Linked DNA regions of Stegostoma tigrinum. The protein of the gene in region 1 purifies or fractionates together with the protein of each later gene. This does not show direct contact. Links are inferred from orthologs where the notes say so. Each region holds a gene or a part of one and is shown on either strand. Other genes may lie near its edges.

The links.
Region 2: the proteins of lin54 (region 1) and lin37 purify together in Homo sapiens (affinity purification with mass spectrometry; 4 studies listed by BioGRID and IntAct, counting the BioPlex papers as one, with this or other methods). This does not show direct contact. The link is inferred for Stegostoma tigrinum from reciprocal best matches to the Homo sapiens genes LIN54 and LIN37.

What each region holds. Positions count from the first base shown.
Region 1 is NC_081354.1:77,503,763-77,514,051, forward strand, and holds the start of lin54 (protein lin-54 homolog), read left to right. Parts: upstream 1-5,234; 5' UTR 5,235-5,449; intron 5,450-5,656; exon of another isoform or gene 5,657-5,678; intron 5,679-10,289. UniProt on the Homo sapiens protein: Component of the DREAM complex, a multiprotein complex that can both act as a transcription activator or repressor depending on the context. In G0 phase, the complex binds to more than 800 promoters and is required for repression of E2F target genes.
Region 2 is NC_081394.1:562,845-573,724, reverse strand, and holds the start of lin37 (protein lin-37 homolog), read right to left. Parts: upstream 4,241-10,880; 5' UTR 4,165-4,240; exon of another isoform or gene 4,043-4,164; intron 4,007-4,042; coding exon of another isoform or gene 3,993-4,006; exon of another isoform or gene 3,975-3,992; intron 2,488-3,974; 5' UTR 2,431-2,487; coding exon 2,376-2,430; intron 2,177-2,375; exon of another isoform or gene 1,834-2,176; coding exon of another isoform or gene 1,788-1,833; intron 1,464-1,787; coding exon 1,388-1,463; intron 1-1,387. Other genes in the region: proser3 (proline and serine-rich protein 3), read left to right, coding at 4,308-4,369, 7,234-7,336, 7,581-7,891, 8,200-8,357, 8,781-8,914, 9,422-9,510, 10,069-10,193, 10,405-10,604.

The sequences.
Region 1 (10,289 bases):
AATTCTAAATAATTCACTGGCTCTAAAGTACTTTGAAATGTTTTGAGCTTGTGATTGGCTCTACATTATTGTAAGTTATTCCTATCTTCCTAAAGCACTCACTATCATCCACCAAACCCCATAACAACAATTCATATTTATATAATACCCTAAATATAGAAAATGTTTCAAGGTCTATAATACAGCAAAATATTTTTGTCTTCAATCAGACTGTGAGCCATCCCTTAAAATTTGATTGGTTACAATTTTTACCAGCAATCAGAGAAAGTAAATGCTCAAAGAAACAATTCAATTTAATCATACTGTTGTCCTGCACACCTGTTATTCTATGGAATGGGTTTATTTTTTGACACTTTTTTTCATTAATATTAAAATTCCTTTAATCCTCTGCTCCAAAGGATACATCTCTCTTTTCAGGTTCAGTTGTACTGGCTGCTGTGCGCCTTTCGATAGCGTAAAAGGAGGCCACTCTCTGTGTGACAGTGTTGGATCTTTGCAAAAAAATCCTCACTGTCCAGGATGGGCCTGGTTTTCTTTTCTCTGCTGCAAACTATCTTTCACTTCCTTTCCCCTGTCTCCTCTATTCTCACTTCTACTTAAGTGCGGGGAATTTATCTAATCAGCTGACTCTGCTTCATAACTCCCTTTCACTGGATCACTGAGCCGAACTTCCTCTAAATTCCATCTGCCCAACCCTGTACTCTCATGTTTCTTGAGTATCTTTCCTGTCATCCATCATGTACTATCCGAGTACAACTTGTTCATGGACCCTTCCTCCTTCAAATTTCTCCAAATTTCCAAGGAACAGCTGAAAACTTGCCCTCCTTGTCCCCCGTGTCAGCCAATATTATCAATGTTTCCCTGTCTTCATGTGTTGTCTCTGCCCCTGTAAATCTGCCATTACCACTCCTCTCTGAAAAAAAGTCATCCTTTGATAGTAACATTCTTCAAACTACAGCTTCATCTTGACCCTCCGTATCCTCTCCAAAGTCCTTGAATATTTTGTCACCTACCAAACCTGTACCAATGGTTCCCAGAACTTCATGTTTTAATTTGTTCAGTCGGGTTTCTGTCTCACCATAGCGCCAAAATAGCTCTTATCAAAGTTATAAATGACATCCAGTGTGACTGTGACAAAAGTAAATATCACTCCTGATTCTCCTGCAGTCTTTCACAAGGTTGACTATGCCATGCTCCTCCAGAGCCTCTCTACTGTGAGCCAAGTAAGTGGGACTGCTCTCAATCAGTTGCATTCTTATCTATCTTATTGTATCACTTGCAATGGTTTCTCCTTCTTCTGTCATATTTTTATCTCTGGACTCCCCCCACCACCCCCCCAGCCAAAAGAATTTATCCTGACCTTTTTTTGTATGCATGTTGAAAGCACAGAGTAGGTTTTCACAAGTATGCCAACAACAATACAACGTTACCTCACCATTACCTTTTTCACCTTCTCCACAGTTGCTAAACTATCAGACTGCTTTAGCCGACATCCAGCACTGGACAAGCAGAATTTTTTTTCCTATTATGTATTGGTTTGACTGAGGCTATTGAACTTTGTCCCTTCTTTAAAGTTTGCTCTCAAGCTACTGACTGTGTCCCTTTCCCAGTCAACAGTTTGAGACTAAACCAGATTGTGGTCAACATAGTTGACTTAATGGCTGGAGTGCAGTACAGAACAATGCCAATAGTGTTAATGCAATCCCTGTTTGGGGTCTGATAGTTCATGAGTCCTGCCTCCTCATTTGCCCTCCCACATTTGAGAAGTGGTGCCTCTCAAGCTACACATAACTAATTGTCTCACTCTAAGGGAGAGATCCAGTTCAGGTCATTTGTGGACACTGGTTAATTAATTATCCTTCCCCACTGGGTGATTTTCCAACGATATATTTGCCCATTGTTTAGCCCACCTTTCCCAACTTCTGTAAAATCATCTGAATGTGTCAGTCTCAGCTCATCTGCTGATGATAGTCTCATTCAGGTCGTTGCTACCTCTAGAGTTGACTACTCCATTGCTACTGTGGCTTCCATTGTGGCTCCCTCCCACATGCTGCCCTTTATAAACTTAAAGGCATCCAAAACTCTGTTGTCTGTATCTTAACTCACACTAAGTCTCCTTCCTTTACCAGTCTTGTCATCACTGACTCACATCAATTCAGAGTAATGCAATGTTTTGATTTAACAGTTTTATCTTTATTACAAATCCCTTTACAACTTTGTAATTGGCCAGACATTTCCTTATCGTAGAACCCAAAAAGTGCAGAAAGAGGTCTTTCAGCTCATCAAGGCTACACTGACCCTCCAAAGAGCATCCCACCCAGATTCAGCCTCCCACCCTCTTCCCATAATTCTCATTTAGCACAGCCAATCCACCAATGTAACCTGCACGTCCCTGGACTGTAGGAGGAAACCCAGCAGAAACCCACAGGGAGAATGTGCAAACTCCACACAGACAGGTACTCAAGACTGAAATCAAACCCAAATCTCTGGTGCTATGAAGGCAGCAGTACTAACCATTGAGCCACTGTGCTGACCCAAATGTTATGTTGCTTATTATCATATTTTGTTTTTTAATGCCCATATGAAGTGTCTTGGCACATTATATCATGTTAAAGGCACTATATAAACATCAGCTGCGGGAATACTGGCACAGGTATAGGCAATTCAGAACATCCAATATGCCCACGAATAGATTAGATCTTGGCCATCCTTCTACCTCGTTGCCACTTTCCTACTCTGTCTTCATATCTCTTAATGTCATTAGTTTCAGAAACTGATCAACTTCTGTTTTGATCATGCATACTTCCATAACACTCATTCAGAGATTCACCATCCTCTGAATGAAGAAATTGCTGCTGATCTCAATCTTAAATGGCTTACCCTTCATCCGGAGTTTATGTCCCCAAGTTCTTGAGCCACCAGCCAGTGAAGGCATCCATTTACATCCACCCTGTAGAAATTTCATAAATTTTAATAAAATCACCTCTCATTCTTCAAAACATTTGTTGTTGTTGTTTGATTTGTGGAGGCTATGGGGGTGAACTGAATCTTGCCCTTATATAATATTTGTATTTGCACTGTTTCAATAAGAAACAGAAGAGGAACAAAGTCTGAATTTCTCCTCTTTGACTCAGGACTGCTATTGTGACGTTCATATTGACTCCTCCCACATGCTGCCCTCTATAAACCTGAAGACATAGGTTCAGAAATGGAAATTTGAAACAAATCTAAATCCAGCTAAAGTCTAGGAAATTTCAATTTTCAATCTAAAGCATGATCACGTGGGTGCCATTTCCATTCATGTCAGCTATCCAATTTGGTAAGTAGATTTATATCCAAATGCCAATAACCCTCTAGTGAGTACACAAATCTAAGCAACAGCAAAGGACAACTGGTTCCTAATAAGATATAAATGTTGAGACAGATGTATAGATTAATGAGAATGGACAAAACGAGGAACATGAGGGTTTCAGTGAAGATTGTGAGGGCATTGATGAAAGTAGCTGAGAAACGAGAGAAATGGTATTGATGAAAGAGGGAGGAAATGTGGTGAGACAAGTGAAGAAGATGGGCTGGCCAAGAACAAAGAGAAAAGGGAGTCCTAAGCCTGTTGAGAAGATGCAATGAGAGACTTAAACACAGTGAATTGGAATGGGAATGGGTGACTGACAGAGAAAAAAACAGACATGAGTGCTCAAGTACCAAAGTAGGAAGAGCCTAGAAGAGGAAGAAGTATTGTTTTGTAGATTGGTTCTCGGCTGGTTTTAAGTAGCACAGTTGATATTACCAGCTACAGTTTGCAATCAAGAAAATTTAAAACACAAACGCAGTTCCTGAAAGTGATATCAGCCAAGAAACTGAGTGGAACGGGTGACCCAGTTGAAGGGTTTTCATATTTATGATAAAATAGAACTTTTTCTAACATGTGGCTGTAATTTAGAGTAATTGCTTTTACAAAGGGGAGGGAGAAGAAATCCAATGCTAATGTTGCTTTTCTGTTTGCCCATTGTGTTTATCTCTTTTTTCCTAGGTAGTCTCTCAGGATTGAGGGTCACTTTCATGCTTGAATAGTTGGGAAGATGAGTTGCATGCAGGTTTGTGCACTACATCAGGCAGCTTGACCTTTGGTCTGTGCACATTCTCGATGAAGATTCTTGAAGTATCTAACAAAACTTAATACTACTTATCCCAAATTTACTTTGTTTCAATGTTTGAACATTTCAATTCTACATTTCTGGATTTTTTTCTTATTCCTTAACAGATATATTACAGTGTTTTTTTCAGATTTTACAATACTTTTCCACTTTGATTGATCACATGCAGGTACACCATGAGTTGGGAATAATGTTTGACTCTGGGATGCTTTGAGGGCATATGCTGTCCATCTGGGATTATCCAACTCCAAGCAAGCACAAAATAGAGTGGTTGCTTTGGGTGTCTGGTGTCAGGCAAGTGCAGCATATGTCCCATCAAGTGGAGCAGCTTTTGAATTATTTTCAGCTTAAGGCTGGACAAACTGGCTTGGGAGAGGATGCTGCTGTTGGACCTTCTTTCTTACCACCAGTTTTGGAGGACCACATAAAAGGTGTTACTTCTCCAGTCATTGGAGGTGCCTGATGTAAGTTGTTCAAGTCTCCAAACCATTTCGGAGGAGCACAGAGCTGCGCAGCAAACCGTGACCTTTATCTCGAAGGGTCACTGGAGCCGAAACGTTAACTCTGCTTACTCTCCACAGGTACTGCCAGATCTGCTGAGTTTTCCAGCAATTTCTATCTCTGCACCTTTATATTGGATTTCAGATACTGATGTTCAAAACGCTTTTCTTCAGTCAGCTTATGTCTGAGCTGGTAGTGGAACCAGTGATGAACTCAGCAATCTATGCTGGCTTTCATGGAGAAAGCTCCTAATAATCATTCATCCGCATTTTCCAGGATCTTAATTGATTAGTGGGATGGTACTGTGAGGCCCAGTTGAAAGAGAATCTGTTTCGGTGAAATTCGTACTGAGAGGTGTAATTACTGTCCAAACTAAAGAAACCCTCCCACCCCGCAAAGCAATGAGCCTGAAACAGCTGCGATTGGAAAGTTGTGGGTAACTGGGGTGGGCGGAGCAACGTGCGTGCTGGCGTCCCAGGAACGCCGTGACGCACGTCTGTCGTTCCAAACACGACGTGAGGTTTGAGAAGCGGCGGCCTTGGTGGGGGTTGGTGTATGACGTGCTTCGCGGAGCGGGGCCGTGGTCTCCTGGGGAGCGCGGTGATATTATGGGATGTTAGACCTGGAGGAATGGCGCTGGGCGCGTGATTTTGAACAAACACGATCGGTCTCCCGGTGACGAGCGCTGTGTGTCTGGTAACCGGGGCCGCCAGCGCCGCCTCAGGCCCCAGGCGGCCGCGATCCTTCTCCATGCCGCCCGCTTCCAGCTCCGAGCGGCCCGGAACCCGCAGCCGGTGAGTATCCGTCAGCGGCACGGCTATGTTTATGTCAGGGAACGCTGCACCGCTCTGCCTTCTTGGCCCCGACGAAACTGGGGCTGGGCGGCTTCGGAGCACCGGCTGATGGCGGCCGGGCTGGATTGAGAGTGCAGCCCCCTATCTGGACTGAGGCCGGGAGGGTGTGGAGCCCCCGATCTGACTGGGGCCGGGGGCTTCGGTCGGTTTGACGACGACTTTCTGCCTTGTATGAGGTGCCTTCTGTTGAAGTTGTCCGCGGTGTTGTCAGTGGCCTCACTGACTGTTTCCCTCTTTCTAAAAGACTCTCCTCCAGTAATGGCTCTTTGATCGTCCTCTCGCCTTCATCCCAATCCCCCCCCTTATCCCCTTTTCTGTTTCTTTCCCATGATGTCGCCTTAATTTGTTTGAAACTACTTCCACCACCACCGCCCCCCCAGCCACCACTGCCGTCCAGCCGTGCGTTTCGTTTTCTTTTTGCTGTGTTAAACTGTGTTGTTTTTAATATTGTGTAACTTTAATGCATTTCTGAAACTGAAAGGTTCACGTCGCTCTTATAACTCTGGGTTTGTAAAATACATTTGCAATAGTGACTCCTTCGAAGATGACCTACGATCAGATTTTTTTTAAAAAAAGAAACCAAAATAGCTACTGGATCCTGCCTGTATTTGGTCTGAAGCGGTATCTGTAATTTCTGTTTCGCAGCGGTGACTGTTCATCGCGGAGTTTAATCTTGGCTCCTGACTGATCTCCCCAGTTATAAATTTCCCCGGACCCTGGGATCATGATCCCAAAGGGCTTTGTACTGTCAGTGTTCTCAAGAACGGGCAGTATCACAAAGCCCAGGGTCGAATTTTTTTGTTGTTGTGCTGACCTTATACAGGAACCATTTCTTTAAGCCCCGCCAGCGATTTGAACGGGAGCAAGAAGTGCATTTAGATGTTGAAGAACATATCTGAGATTTTGTTTCCAGCAGGTAGATTGCTGATTTGTAAGTTGTTTGTTGTTTGAGGAGGAATGCGCCAGGGCATCAGGCTGAACGTTTGTGGGGTTTGTTCGGCAACTGTGGTATTTCCTGTTAGTTTTTTTTCCGCGGTTTTTTCGTATGATTTTTGTATATCTCCCAGTCTCGCTCAGGCCCTGCCTTTCTGTGGAAATGTGATGACGAGGTGAAAATGGCGGACCTTTCGAAATGCAATCCCTGCCTAATTATACACCCGAACCTAGTCTGAAAAGCCCGAACCGGCTTTGGGCTCTGCCCAGCCTCTCAAACACAAAATGACACATTCTCTCTCTTCACACCCAGATGTCACGCTTGTAACACTTCAGGTTTCTCTGCCAAGCATAGATAGCTCGGTTGCAAAGGCCTGCAGTTCTCCTTTTGAGATCGTTTGGAGAGACGTGGCTCTCTGAAAGATACAGTAAGATATACCCAGATTCCGCCTAACAAAAGATTACGTCTAGAAGTTGTCTAGCCATTTAGTTTACCTGGTCAAAGTACAATGTAAAATCATTCACATGACGTATGTAGGATTTCTAACGGCAAGCATACTTTGCGATATTTCTATTGAGGTTTTTCATCAATAAAGATAATTATCAAATATAAGTCATGCATAAATGTATGTCGCAAAAATCTTCATTCTTTGATCTTTTTGCTCTACTCTGCTGCCGGTTATGTTATTTACAGCGCCCCCTCCCCAATATTAAAAATTAACCAGTTCCGCCCCCTTGTCCTCCCAGAACACGGCTAAGTTGTCATCGTCAGATTCATAACTGTACAAACGCGAACAAGATTCCAGTCAACCTGTTTAGGAATGTTGTTATACACCTCTGGAACAGGTGTGACTTGAACCTGGGCGTCATGGATACTGCATCCTTGACTATCAGCTCTCTGTTCCAGGTTTGGAGGCTGTGATCCTGTTTCTCACTTTGTGTTCACTGTGGGAACGATTGCTCAGCTCCAATTTTTCACCTTTGTAATGTCGCAAAACATCTGACTTGAAGGATGGAGTAGGAAAACTTACGGGAGTTGGAATAAAGTGCTGCTGAGGAGATGTGTTTTAATGGTGAAAAGAAATATAGCAAAAAGCAAGGTAGATAGAATATTGCAAGATAATACAGACACGATGGGCTAAATAGCCTACGTTGTATCATTCTTTTGATCGCTAATGGTGGAATGTAATATAGAAGGGATCATGATGTGGGTAGAAGTTGAAATATCAGCAAGTGCAGACAAGGAAAGAGGGCTGGGGAAGGATGGGAAGCTGGAATTACAAGGAGGACTGAAAAGAAGTTGTGCTTCTGTCTAGTCACCCATTGAGATGCAATTGTTTGTGTGGTAACTTGTTGGCATGTGACTGCTATTTTATCCACAGCAAGCCTTCGCGAACATATGTATGATAAATGATGATTAATTTATCTGTTGGGCTCAAATGGGAGACCACTGACCACAGTGGGAGACGTTGAATTGTTTGGACTGATCAGGGTGTGGTGCGTCAGTTTTTCTAGTGTAGATTTTGCTTTGCTAGAGACTAGTTATGCAGTAAAAAGTTTTTAAACTGAAGTAGAAACTTTTAATAGAAAGTCCTGTGTGAGGCTTGCATACATTCCAATCTCTTGAAAGTAAACAATACATCTTTTTAAAGTTAATGTAAACACCTGCTTGGTCAACTGAGCTGTGTAATGCCTCTGATGTTCGGTGAAAACACTGACAGACCATCGAATGCTAAGGAATATTGCTCAATTTATACAGGGGAGAGGGGGAGGATAGACACTTTACCATTGATTTCAAAGTGTGTACTTGCCAATGCAGAAAATAGGTGAAATATTATTAAGCTTTGGCTGCCTTTTGTCCCTGTTTGTCCATTGACATCCTTGCAATCGAAATGTCTGCACATTTGCTGATAGAAGCAGTGTTAATGAAAAAGGAGTTCATATTTGATGTGGGAAATAGAAAAATCAGAACAACCAAAGGATTTCTTTTCAGCTGGGATTAACAAATGTTGAATAAGTAAACAGAAGGCTTGACAGAATGAATACTATCTCCACAGATTATCCTTTCTTTGATTCTTTCCCATTATGTAACCTCCTTGCTGTGTTGCTAATGGAGAAAATTCAAGTACCGAATAATTTTTGCCCGTCCTGGGAGATAGTTGAACTAAGCTGCAAAATATTTGTGTATTCTCACTGCCATGCAAACCTGTATGTTTGGTTTCTACAGTTTGTGCTTTATTTGGTGACAGCAAGCACTGCAGACTGTTTAACTCTGACTGTTGTAACCTTCCATATTTTTCATACTCATGGAATGTGGATGTTGCATGCAAGCATTGCATGTATTATCCATTACCAGTTGCCCTTGACAAGATAATGGTGAAGCGCTGCAGTGACTGTGGTGTACGTATTCCCAAAGTATAGCTAGGGGAGGAATTTATGGGATTTTGACCTAATCCCAGTTGGGGGGGTGGGAAGCGTGCAATACACTTCAAATTAATGATGTGCATTGCTTGGAAGAGGAAACATGCCAGTGTTGGTTCCCATGCTGCCCATGTCCTGTGTGATAGAGTGCATGGTTTTGGAGGACCATTGTGCATGTTGAATGTGTTACTGCAGCACTTCTAAATGGAAAATACTGCAGCCATTATGGCCTGGTGATGGATGGAATCAGTGTTGAGGCAGTAGATTTGGTCTCTAGCAAATCGGTTGCTTTATCCTGGATGTTGTTGAGCTTTGTGTTGTTGGAGCTGCTTTCATCCAGACAACTGTTCTGAGTTACAAGTTGCAGATCATGCAAAGTATTTAGAGAAACAAAATGAATTATTTGCTGCAGAATTCCTAGTTTCTGACCTGCTCTTGTAATAACACTAGTTGTGGCTGATCCAGTTAAGTTTGTGATCAATGGTATCTCCCCAGGATAATGATGTTTGGGTATATGGCAATAATAATGCCATTGAATATAAAGGGGAGCTGGCCACTTCTTAGCATTTGTAGCACTAAACCAGATAATTATCTAGAGTTGGCTCAGGTTGTGACCTTCCATCTATCCTGATGAATAGTCACAACTGGAAAATTTTTAATCTTGTTTCTTGCTGCTGCCAGATCTTTATTTCTAGCATTTTCTTTTTGTTTCAGTCTTCGATCATATATAGTATTTTGCTTTCAGATAGTTCGCTAGCCCTGTTCTGTGGACCAAGCACAGATTATTGTTGAAACATTATGGCTAATGCTGCACCTGATGCAAAAATGTGTAGAGTTGACACTGATAGAAATAACCAGTAAAATAAGTGCATCTGTTCTACAATAATTACTGTTACAGGCAAAATAATCTGTAGGTTTTCAAAAAAAGAAAAAAACCCTGCTTTTTGAAGGAGCTTCCCACTGGGAGAAGATTCTGGCCTGTCAAGAATTACATTTGATTTTCTTGACAGTCTTGAGTAGGAAAACTCTCAATCAGGTTAGCTAGTAGTGTGTTTATAATCATTTCTCCAAGATTAGGAAAAGCAAAAATTCAGGAACAATCCTTATTGTTCCTGAGACTCATTATTTGCTTTTCCACTCTGGAAAAATATACTAGCTTTGGATGAGGATAAAAATGTATTTGCCTGTGTTTGTCCTCACAGGTGAATTGTCTGCCAGCTTTCATTCTATGGTCACACATGAAGAGAAATTAATGGGGAAGGTGCTTGTGGTTTGCTAACTCCAAATATCCACTAAGTATTCAGCTCCAAGATGTAACACTCAAGCTAAGTTAGGCTGTGCAAAGCCTGGCATCCTGTCCAACCCACATCTGTTTCATACAATATATTGTGACCATCACCAAACTGCTATCTAAACCATCAGTCAC
Region 2 (10,880 bases), on another chromosome or scaffold:
ACTCAGTTACAACAGTGGGCACAGAAACCGAAACCGCAGAGGGGCACTCAGTTACAACAGTGGACACAGAAACCGAAACCGCAGAGGGGCACTCAGTTACAACAGTGGACACAGAAACCGAAACCGCAGAGGGGCACTCAGTAACAACAGTGGACACAGAAACCGAAACCGCAGAGGGGCACTCAGTAACAACAGTGGACACAGAAACCGAAACCGCAGAGGGGCACTCAGTAACAACAGTGGACACAGAAACCGAAACCGCAGAGGGGCACTCAGTAACAACAGTGGACACAGAAACCGAAACCGCAGAGGGGCACTCAGTAACAACAGTGGACACAGAAACCGAAACCGCAGAGGGGCACTCAGTAACAACAGTGGACACAGAAACCGAAACCGCAGAGGGGCACTCAGTTACAACAGTGGACACAGAAACCGAAACCGCAGAGGGGCACTCAGTTACAACAGTGGACACAGAAACCGAAACCGCAGAGGGGCACTCAGTTACAACAGTGGACACAGAAACCGAAACCGCAGAGGGGCACTCAGTAACAACAGTGGACACAGAAACCGAAACCGCAGAGGGGCACTCAGTAACAACAGTGGACACAGAAACCGAAACCGCAGAGGGGCACTCAGTAACAACAGTGGACACAGAAACCGAAACCGCAGAGGGGCACTCAGTTACAACAGTGGGCACAGAAACCGAAACCGCAGAGGGGCACTCAGTAACAACAGTGGACACAGAAACCGAAACCGCAGAGGGGCACTCAGTTACAACAGTGGGCACAGAAACCGAAACCGCAGAGGGGCACTCAGTTACAACAGTGGGCACAGAAACCGAAACAGAAAGAGAAGGCTGAGTGACAGTAACGGGCATGGAAACACAAGACAACAAAACAGTTACAACAGTGAACAGAAAAACTGAAACAGCTGAGAACGAGAATCATTGTCAGTTATAATAGTGAGCACAGAAACAAAAAGTGAAATAACAGAGAGCTAGACACACTGTTAGTTACAGTCATGAGCACAAAAGAGAGCTCAATGGCTGTCAGCGAGGGACTGTCAGCCAGAACTGAAGAGTTTTTGTTGCCACACAGATAGAGATCAATGGAACAAAATCAAAGCTGCTGGAAAGGCTCAGCAGGTCTGGCAGCACCTGTGGAGGAGAAAACAGAGTTAACGTTTTGGGTCCGGTGACCCTTCCTCAGAACCTGAAACGTTAACTCTGTTTTCGCCTCCACAGATGCTACCAGATCTACTGAACTTTTCCAGCAACTTTGTTTTTGTTCCCGATTTACAGCATCCACAGTTCTTTTGGTTTTTATTTAGAGATCAATGGCAATGTCCAAGTGAATTAGTCCAAATCAAAGGAAAACTAAACACTTACCTCTCAATATCACTCTTCTCAACCAGACACTGGAGGACTGCATCTAAACGATTACGAGCTGTCGAAGCCTCAAGATCTGCAACTCACAGAAACCATGTAAGAGACTAAACTTTGTTACACAAAGGAATAAGTAAACAGGGTACCAAGAGAGTGCAGCGCTGTTGGACGGTCAGCGCTGAGGAAATTTTCCATTGCAACAGAGTCCTCACTTCAAAAAAGGAAGCCTTTCATTAGCTACACAGATTGTCCTGAGCTGGTGACAGTAAGAACAGGGGTCTTTTTATTTCTCTGCCCTCACAAACCTTTCCAAACACTTTCCTGCTGCAGAGCTACTATTTCAGTCCTTGCTCTTGCTCCTAGCCACCGACTAACTCTAGGGGTCTAGAGCTGCCTCCCTTACCTGGCCTGTTCCCCTGTTCTGTCTGTTCTAATGCAGATTTAGCCATCGCTCAGCACCACCACCTGCTGAGTAGAAGCAATGCTGCAGCAGTGAAAAATTCACCACCTCCTCCTTCACAGGAACAGGAGACCAGATTGCCCCTCCTCAAGCCTGCAGCACAGGAACAGCAGAATGCCAGTCAGCCCCCTCCTCGAGCCTGTAGCACAGGAACAGGAGGAGACCAGTCAGCATCCTCCATGCAATTGTCTCAATGAACCAAAAATTGCTGTGCATACCAAGAGAGAGGTCCTGAATTTCCTTCCTCTCATTCTCTCTAACCTCCTCACCGTCTCACGTGGATCGAGCCGGGATTTGGACAGAGTGTCCCTTCTTCTGAACTCTCTGCTCCCCTGCAGAAGAAACAGTTTCACTCTGTCATCCTATTTGAATGTTTAAACCTTATCTTCGGTACTGGAGGGAGACCATACTTGCTGAACTTGAAACACAGAATAAATTCAGGGTGAGGGAGTCATGATGGGGAAGGAAAGGGATAAGGAATGATGAAGAGATAGGAGCCAGCACCGAGAAGGGCAGTTAGTTCAAGCCTACCTGCTTTTTCAGTTTTCACGGTAACTGAAATCATGTTACTGCTGTGGGGCCTCATTCACACGATGGAAATAGGCAAGCAATCGCCACAAAGACCAACAGCACTCAAACAGACCTGTGACAGAGAGAATCAATCCCAACAGCCAGCATTACTGAGTAACAGTGTGAGACAATGGGATTACCATCAACAGAGATACAGTCAGTAACACCGGGCTCTGGGAGGGTGTGTCACTGAGTGTGAGGGAGAGGGATTAACATCAGTATGGATACAGTCAGTAACACAGCATTCTGTGGGAAGAGGGGTTACTGAGTGACTGTGAGGGAGTGGGATGAACAACAGAAGGAATACAGTCAGTTACACAGGGTTCTGGGGGGAAGAGGGGTTACTGAGTGACAGTGTGAGGGAGTGGGATTAACATCAGTAGGGATACAGTCAGTAACACAGGGCGCTGGGGGCGGGGGGAAGAGGGGTTACTGAGTGACAGTGTGAGGGAGAGGGATTAACATCAGTAGGGATACAGTCAGTAACACAGGGCGCTGGGGGGGAGAGGGGTTACTGAGTGACAGTGTGAGGGAGAGGGATTAACATCAGTAGGGATACAGTCAGTAACACAGGGCGCTGGGGGGGAGAGGGGTTACTGAGTGACAGTGTGAGGGAGAGGGATTAACATCAGTAGGGATACAGTCAGTAACACAGGGCGCTGGGGGGGGGGGGAAAGAGGGGTTACTGAGTGACAGTGTGAGGGAGAGGGATTAACATCAGTAGGGATACAGTCAGTAACACAGGGCGCTGGGGGGGAGAGGGGTTACTGAGTGACAGTGTGAGGGAGAGGGATTAACATCAGTAGGGATACAGTCAGTAACACAGGGCGCTGGAGGGGAGAGGGGTTACTGAGTGACAGTGTGAGGGAGAGGGATTAACATCAGTAGGGATACAGTCAGTAACACAGGGCCCTGGGGGGGGGAGAGGGGTTACTGAGTGACAGTGTGAGGGAGAGGGATTAACATCAGTAGGGATACAGCCAGTAACACAGGGTTCTGGGGGTGGAGTGTTGTTAATGAGTGAATCCCCTGACCCCCCAGCTCATCCTCACCTCCCTAACCTGTTCTTCCTCTCACCAATCCCCATCTCAAGTGCCATCTCCACTGCCTACCTCCTAACCTCATCCCCACCCCCTTGACCTGACCATCCTCCCCAGACTGACCTATCCCCTCCCTTCTCCCCACCTACACTCACCTCTGCAGGCTCCATCCCTCCCCCTTTAACTTGTCTGTCTCCTCCACCTATCTTCTCCTCTATCTTCGGTCCACCTCCCCCTCTCTCCCTATGTATTTCAGAACCCTCTCTCCATCTCCCTTTTCTGATGAAGGGTCCAGGCCAGAAATGCCAGCTTTTGCCCTCCTGAGACGCTGCTTGACCTACTGTGTCCATCCAGCCCCACACTTTGTTATCTCACACTCTCCAGCATCTGCACTTCCTATTATCTCGCTCCCAACAGACGTCATGCCCGTCCTCACGCTCTATTGGCTGCCAAACCGTCTGTCAAGCCACTAGTCCCACCTCCTGCCGGCCCCCTATAAGGCCCGCCCCTTGGCGGGGCCGTTAAAGGCGGCGGGAAAATGGAGGATTTGCCGTAGGTTGCTGCTAGTCTTATTCATCGGTTTCCCCCCCCCCCCCGCCTCCGTGGTGGTGATAACGCTGGTAGTTTATTCCCTCCCTTTGACGATAATTATAGTTTTATAGTTTTACATTAATTGTGTTGTCATTTAACACTACCTACGTCAGACTGACCTGAAGCTCCGGCTCCGACGGCCCTCCTTGTTTTTACGTCAATTCTCATCCCATCCTGTCACGCGGTACCGTTCCTGTTTCCTATTGGCTGTAGCCCTGTCCGTCTTGTATCTAGCCCCGCCCTCCACCTGGCGTCCAATGAGATGTGCCCCGCCTCCTCCGTGACCGTTGAAGGCGGCGGGAAAATGGAGGATTCCAAGTGGAGGTGAATCAAAGAGGGTCTGAAGTGTTATACAGCATAGCCCTCGGTTTATAGTATTTAATTAGAGAGAAACAGTTCAAAGTAATTAGCAATTTTCAATGTTACATGATTATTAATGTAGTGACCGCACTATATAATGTACAGATAGAGTGGAGCTGATTCAGAGGTTACCAATCATATATAACGCCATGTGTATAATATTTAATTCGTGTGTAAATTAATCATAGATTATTAGTGTTATATAACGTAATCATCATTCTTAATATAATCACATCACTATAATATAGAGACATTTGGGTTGAAACAGATTCTCAATATTATTATATGCTCATTCTTATATGAATAATATAGCACCATGTATGTGTGTATATATATATGTCTATATATGTATAGGTGTGTGTGTGCGTGTGTATATGTATTTTATATATATATAGGGATATATATATATATATATATATATATACACACTGCACAATTAGAGAGAGAGAGACAGTAGAAGCTGATCAGAGGTTATCAATAATATATAATTAGAGAGAGTAGAAGTTAATCAGAGATTAATAATGTTATGTAACATAATCATGGGTATAAATATAATTGTATGGTATAGGACAGAGTGGGGTTGGATCAGCTTCTCAATAATATTGTATACTCATTCTTGTTCATATCAATAATATAACATCACGTAATACTATACAATTAGAGAGACAGACAGAAGTTAATCAGTCATTGAGTATTGTGTAGCCATCTTCCTTATGTAATGACAACACTATATTGTAGAGACAGTGGAGCTTAATCAGAGGGTAGCAATCATATCATATAACACCATGTATATAATATTTAACTACAAACTGTGACATAGCACAATTAACCAGATATTTTTAATAGTTTATAACCATCACTTAATGTAATTAGACTATTATATACTGTAGAAAAGAGTGGAGGTGAATCAGAGGTTATTAATATTGGGTCAGTTCTCATTGGAGAGAAGGAGGCTACGAAGGGATTTAATAGAGACATACAAGATGATCAGAGGATTAGACAGGGTGGACAGTGAGAGTCTTTTTCCGAGGATGATGACTTCAGCTTATACAAGGGGGCATAGCTACAAATTGAGGGGTGATAGATTTAAGACAGATGTCAGAGGCAGGTTCTTTACTCAGAGAGTGGTAAGGATGTGGAACGCCCTGCCTGCCAATGTAGTTAACTCAGCCACATGAGGGGCATTTAAACAGTCCTTGGATAAGCATATGGATAATGATGGGATAGTGTGGGGGCAGGGGCTTAGATTAGTTCACAGGTCGGCGCAACATCGAGGGCCGAAGGGCCTGTTCTGCGCTGTATTGTTCTATGTTCTCTGTTCTAATATTGTGATCATGTAAGCATTATTCTTCACATAATGAAAGCACTCATCTAGAAATGGAGTGGAGGTGAATCAGAGATTGTCAATAATATATAATCATTCTTAATCATATAATCAATAACATAACACCATGTATATACCATACAGTTAGAGAGAGAGAGATAGCCTAGAAGTTATTCAGAGGTGTAAACAATAGGAAATGCGATTAGTAAGTTTGTAGATGATGCCAAAATTGGAGATGTAGTGGACAGTGAAGAAGGTTACCTCACAGTACAACAGGATCTTGATGAGATAGGCCAGGGAGTGGGAGATGAGTTTAATTTTGACAAATGAGGTGTTGCATTTTGGACAGACAAATCAGAGCAGCACTTATACACTTAATGATAAGGTCCTGGGGAGTGTGCTGAACCAAGAGACCTTGAGGAGCAGGCTCATATTTCCCTGAAGGCGGAGTCGCAGGTAGACAGGTTGGTGGAGAAGGTATTTGGTATGCTTGCCTTTACTCCTTTGAGTAAAGGAGTTGGGAGGGTCAGATTGCGGCTGCACAGGACGTTGGTTAGGGCCACTTTTGGAATGCTGTGTGCAGTTCTGGTCTCCCTGCTATAGGAAAATGTTGTGAAACTTGAGAGGGTTCAGAAAAGATTTACAAGGATGTTGCTACCAGGCTGGGGCTATTTTCCCTGAAGCCTCAGAGGCTTAGGGGGTTACCTTATTGATGTTTATAAAATTCTGAGGGGCATGGATAAGGTGAAAAGGCACTGTCTTGTCACTGGGGTCGGGGAGTCCAAAACTAAATGGCATAGGTTTGAGGTGAGAGAGGAAAGATTGAAAAGGGACTAAAGGAGCAGCTTTTCCAGTCAGAAGGTGGTGCATGTATGGAATAAGCTCCCAAAGAAAGTGGGGGAGGCCGATACAATTACAATATTTAAAAGGCATGATTAGAAAAGGTTAGATGGATATGATCCAAATGCTGGCAAATTGAATTAGATTAATTTAGGATGTCTGGTCAGCATGGACAAATCACACCAAAGGATCTGTTTCCATACTGTACAACTCTGACTCTATGACCAATGAGATAATCTCACAATGTAATACTATGTTTATAAATATATAATCAAAGAGACAGAGTAGAAGTGAGTCAGTGATTATCAATAATATAATCACAAAGTATAACACTGTATAATCTGAGAGTCAGAGTAGGGGTGAATCAGATTATTAATATTAACATATTTAAGACATAATCAGACGGAGATAATCAGGGAGAACTAGTCAGAAACGGACGGTGGGGGAGAGAGAGAGAGAGAGAGAGAGTCAGAGACAACAGACTCAGACACGTGGAGTGACACAGTTTTGGAGTGGTGTGAGAGGGCCATTTCTCTCTCAGTTTCAGGATTGGTATCAGTGATCAGTTTTGGGGTTTCCGTGAACATCACAGTGTTGGTAAATGGTTTTTAAGCTGTCAGTAAAGCCACTGATTCTGATTGTCTTTTTTCCATCTGTCTGACAGCTCTGTGTTTAGTCCAGGAAACCCTTTTGGACAATCTCAGCTCTCCCGCAGTCACTACCACCCATCCTCTCCCCAAAGGATACCTCAGCAGCAGGGCAAAAAGGTGAGACTAGGGTTGGCATTGTTAGGAGCACAGGCCAGGTTGAAGGGGTTAGAATATTGCAAGCTCATCCTTCTGGTTTAATGCTGGCCTTGACTATCAACCAGACTACCGCTCTCTTTGCCAGCCTCAAGTGTAAGAACAGAGACCTGTCTACCTGGGGAAGCACCTGACAACATGCTGCAGAGGAGGGGTACGTACTGAGGAAGTGCCGTGTTTAATGACTCAGTTATGTCTCACCTTCCAGGTAGTGAAACCAGGTCAGTGCCAGCTGCCTAGACCATCGCTTCCAACAGAACCTCCTCTGGCCTCTCAGGATGCTCCGAGACAAACTGACCAGCCGGTGTGCCAGGGTGAAGGGACAGATGCTGGGATAGCTAGCCCCTTGGTGGAGTCTTGGCCATCCACCGAGAGCAGCTCTCTCCTGACGCCTGAAGGAGAGCCAGGAAGCGAGGCAAGGGTAGGGTCCACAGCAGAATCGCAGGAGATGTTCCGTACAGACCAGGGTTGGTCAGGAAGTCCACAGGCTGACCCAGCGGAGAGTTCAATTATCGCAAAGTGAGTGACAACACCACCAACTTCACAGTCAGCCAACCGCTCCTCACTGGCATAATGTGACGAGTCCCAAGATAGAGAGTGGATAGGAGCAAGGATCTGCTCTTTACACTCTCTATCCTCGGACTCGTCAGATGGGCTGGATGGAACCATGCTGTTAGTCGCAATAATTTACACGTTATAGTTTCCAGTTGGCTTTAGCTATGTTAGACAGGTCATCTTTGCTCAGTACTACCCCCACCCCACTCACCCACCCACCCACCCCTTGTGAAGGATTGCAGCTTAATCCTGGCCTGTCCATCTGCATTCAGGTACATCCAGCGATTCCGACATGGCAAACCACTGAGCAGAGAGGAACGGGAGTGTACTACCACTGGAATCGACACTGATAGCAGTGAGTTCTGGTGGCTTAGGAGCTCACCCCCGAGCAGCTCAACACCGACACAGGAGACACACCAGCATCACCCAGGTACAAGAGCACTCCTGTATCAACAGTTGCTTCAGCAAGGATAAAATTATACTGCTCCTCCATGACTACCTCCAATCATTTAGATTCCAGTCTGCAATTCACTCCTGGGTGTCTGTTATTATGAATATAAACCACCCCAAACCCCAAGACTGGATTCCCGTGTGTAACTCACCCCGGGGTATCTGTTATTCTTTATATAAACCAACCCAAAATCCTCAATCGGATTCCAGTCTGTAACTAACTCCCAGATATCTGTTACTCAACACAATCTGCTGGATTATATGCTTTGAAACATGAAGAGGAGGCAGTTGTCAGAATGGCTGTTTAGTGGAAACTTCCTCGTGGTGGGTGTCGTTAGAATTGCTGAAGCCTGGTGAGTTTGAGGCAAAAGGTTCTCTTTGATGCTTCTGTTATTGCCCACAGATATTCGTTCATTGACCATTGAGGAAAGACAATCTGCCTCTCATTCTATTCAGCAATGTGGACACTTGCCTGCGGAAATATCTCTGCCCAGCTTCCCAGGTCTGTCTTTAATGAAGACCGGACTGTCCTCAGGAGTAAGTATTCGTGTGCGTCTGTGCTGTGTTGCCAGGGGTTTCTGAGCATCAGTCCTGCAGCAGGTGGTATCATCCTAGTGATGTCTCTGTCTTTACTGTTGACAGAGATCTGCTCTGTGTGGGACATAGTCCTGCACGCCATCAGTGTGTTTCGTTGCATCTTTGTTATTGAATGAGGTGGGCTGTACAGTACACCTCAGACACACCTGTGTTAGGGAGAGAAGAATTCAGCCAAGCTTCCTGCCCCTGATCGCTGTCCCTGGTTTAGACAGAGAGGGGATCTCCACTGGGGTCTGAAGAGAGATCTATCCCTTCTCGCTGGATGGTTAATATATAGAATAACAGATATACAGGAGTGAATTACAGACGGAATCTAATCAAAGGGTTTGGGATGGTTTATGTATAGAATAACTGATATCCAGAGGGAGTTTTAGCGTGAGATCTGTAGACATTGCTGTATGTCAGCTCGTTTCTGTTAAAGTCTCCAAGATGCATTTTCTTTTCCAGGGTGAACATTTAGAGGTTTCCCAGCTGGAGTCCTTTGATCTGGAGACTGTTCATCTCCAGGAAAGAGCAAATCGCCTGCTGCAGCGCAGGTAAGATGCTGTGTGAGCCCACTGGTAGTGCGTGCGACTGCTGGGTGACTGCCAATCGATACAAAGCATGTCAGAGGGTCCGCAGAAACCAATCCTGTCAAAAAGAGTTCCCCGTCCCAAACCTCTTGTGCCCTGACCTTACTGCCAACCATTCAGACAAACGGGGAGGGGAGATCATGGACTTCCTCGGCGCTAAGGTTGAGAGAATTTGTGCTCTGCACAACAAATCCTTTCTGTCAGTATGGTTTCATTGGGAACAGCTATGGGGACCAATCAGCACCTCACACTCCCGAGTCACTTGAGCAACACCTATTGATCAAGCGTGTGGACTCTACTTGAGCAAATTCTGCTGGTAAAACATGAAACAAAACCTCTACTGCTGCAGTGAGAGTGACGAGAATCCCTGAGGGTGAGTGCAGAGGGAGCGCCGCACTGTCGGCGGGTGAGTGCAGAGAGAGCGCCGTTTTGACTAAGGCATCATGTTTAACTTTAAGTTGATGTGATTACTTCCATCTAATCTCTCACCTCTGATGTATTTCTCTGTTCCCTCCTGTCCAGTGAATCTTCTTGCAGTGGCCTCATTCCTGTCAGCTCTGACGGGGTAGGATCTCCGAATGTCTCTGATCCCGCTGAGGAAGTATCAGCCTGTCCTGTCTCCATCCTGCTGTGTGAGCCTGCTGTTGGTAAGCATCCTACGTTTCGTAAATCCCACTCATTTGTCATTCAAATACTGGAAATGCCCTCAGCACTGACCTTCCGACAGTGCGGCACTCCCTCAGCACGGATCGTTTCTGTTAGTGCGTGTAGTTGATTCTGATTTGCAATGTTATTCTAACTGCATGTGGTAGCCATCGTACTGATTCAGCTGTGCATGGCCCCTTCTGTCCTCTCCAGGAGATAGTGATGTGAAACACATCAGCATCCTATCTGATGGCCTCTATCCCAAGTGCAAACCCTTGTTTACCACCCGCCCTGAGGATGACATCCTGTACCAGTGGCGTCTGCAAAGGAAGATGGAGGCAGCAAGAGAGAGCTCTTCGGCTTTCCTACCACAGAGGAAGTCGCAGTCCCCTTCAGTCTGCCTTGGCAGGCAGGTAAGTGGCTGTCTGTCCTGTCAACTGCTTCTCCCAGCAACCATGCCAGGCTGAGGGCTAGTGAAACTCCCTTTCAGTCTGACCTGTTTTGACTTGGCCTTTGTAGGTTCCTGCCCCATCTCCTGCACTTCTGCCTTCCCTCCTAGAACAACAAGAAGGTTTGCCATCTCCGCACTGGCATCTTACTGGTCCCCCCATTCGAAAGGTTTTTTTTCATTTTCACTGCATCCAGTGGATCACTGCCTCCACACACGTCTTCCTGTCCTCCTCACTGTC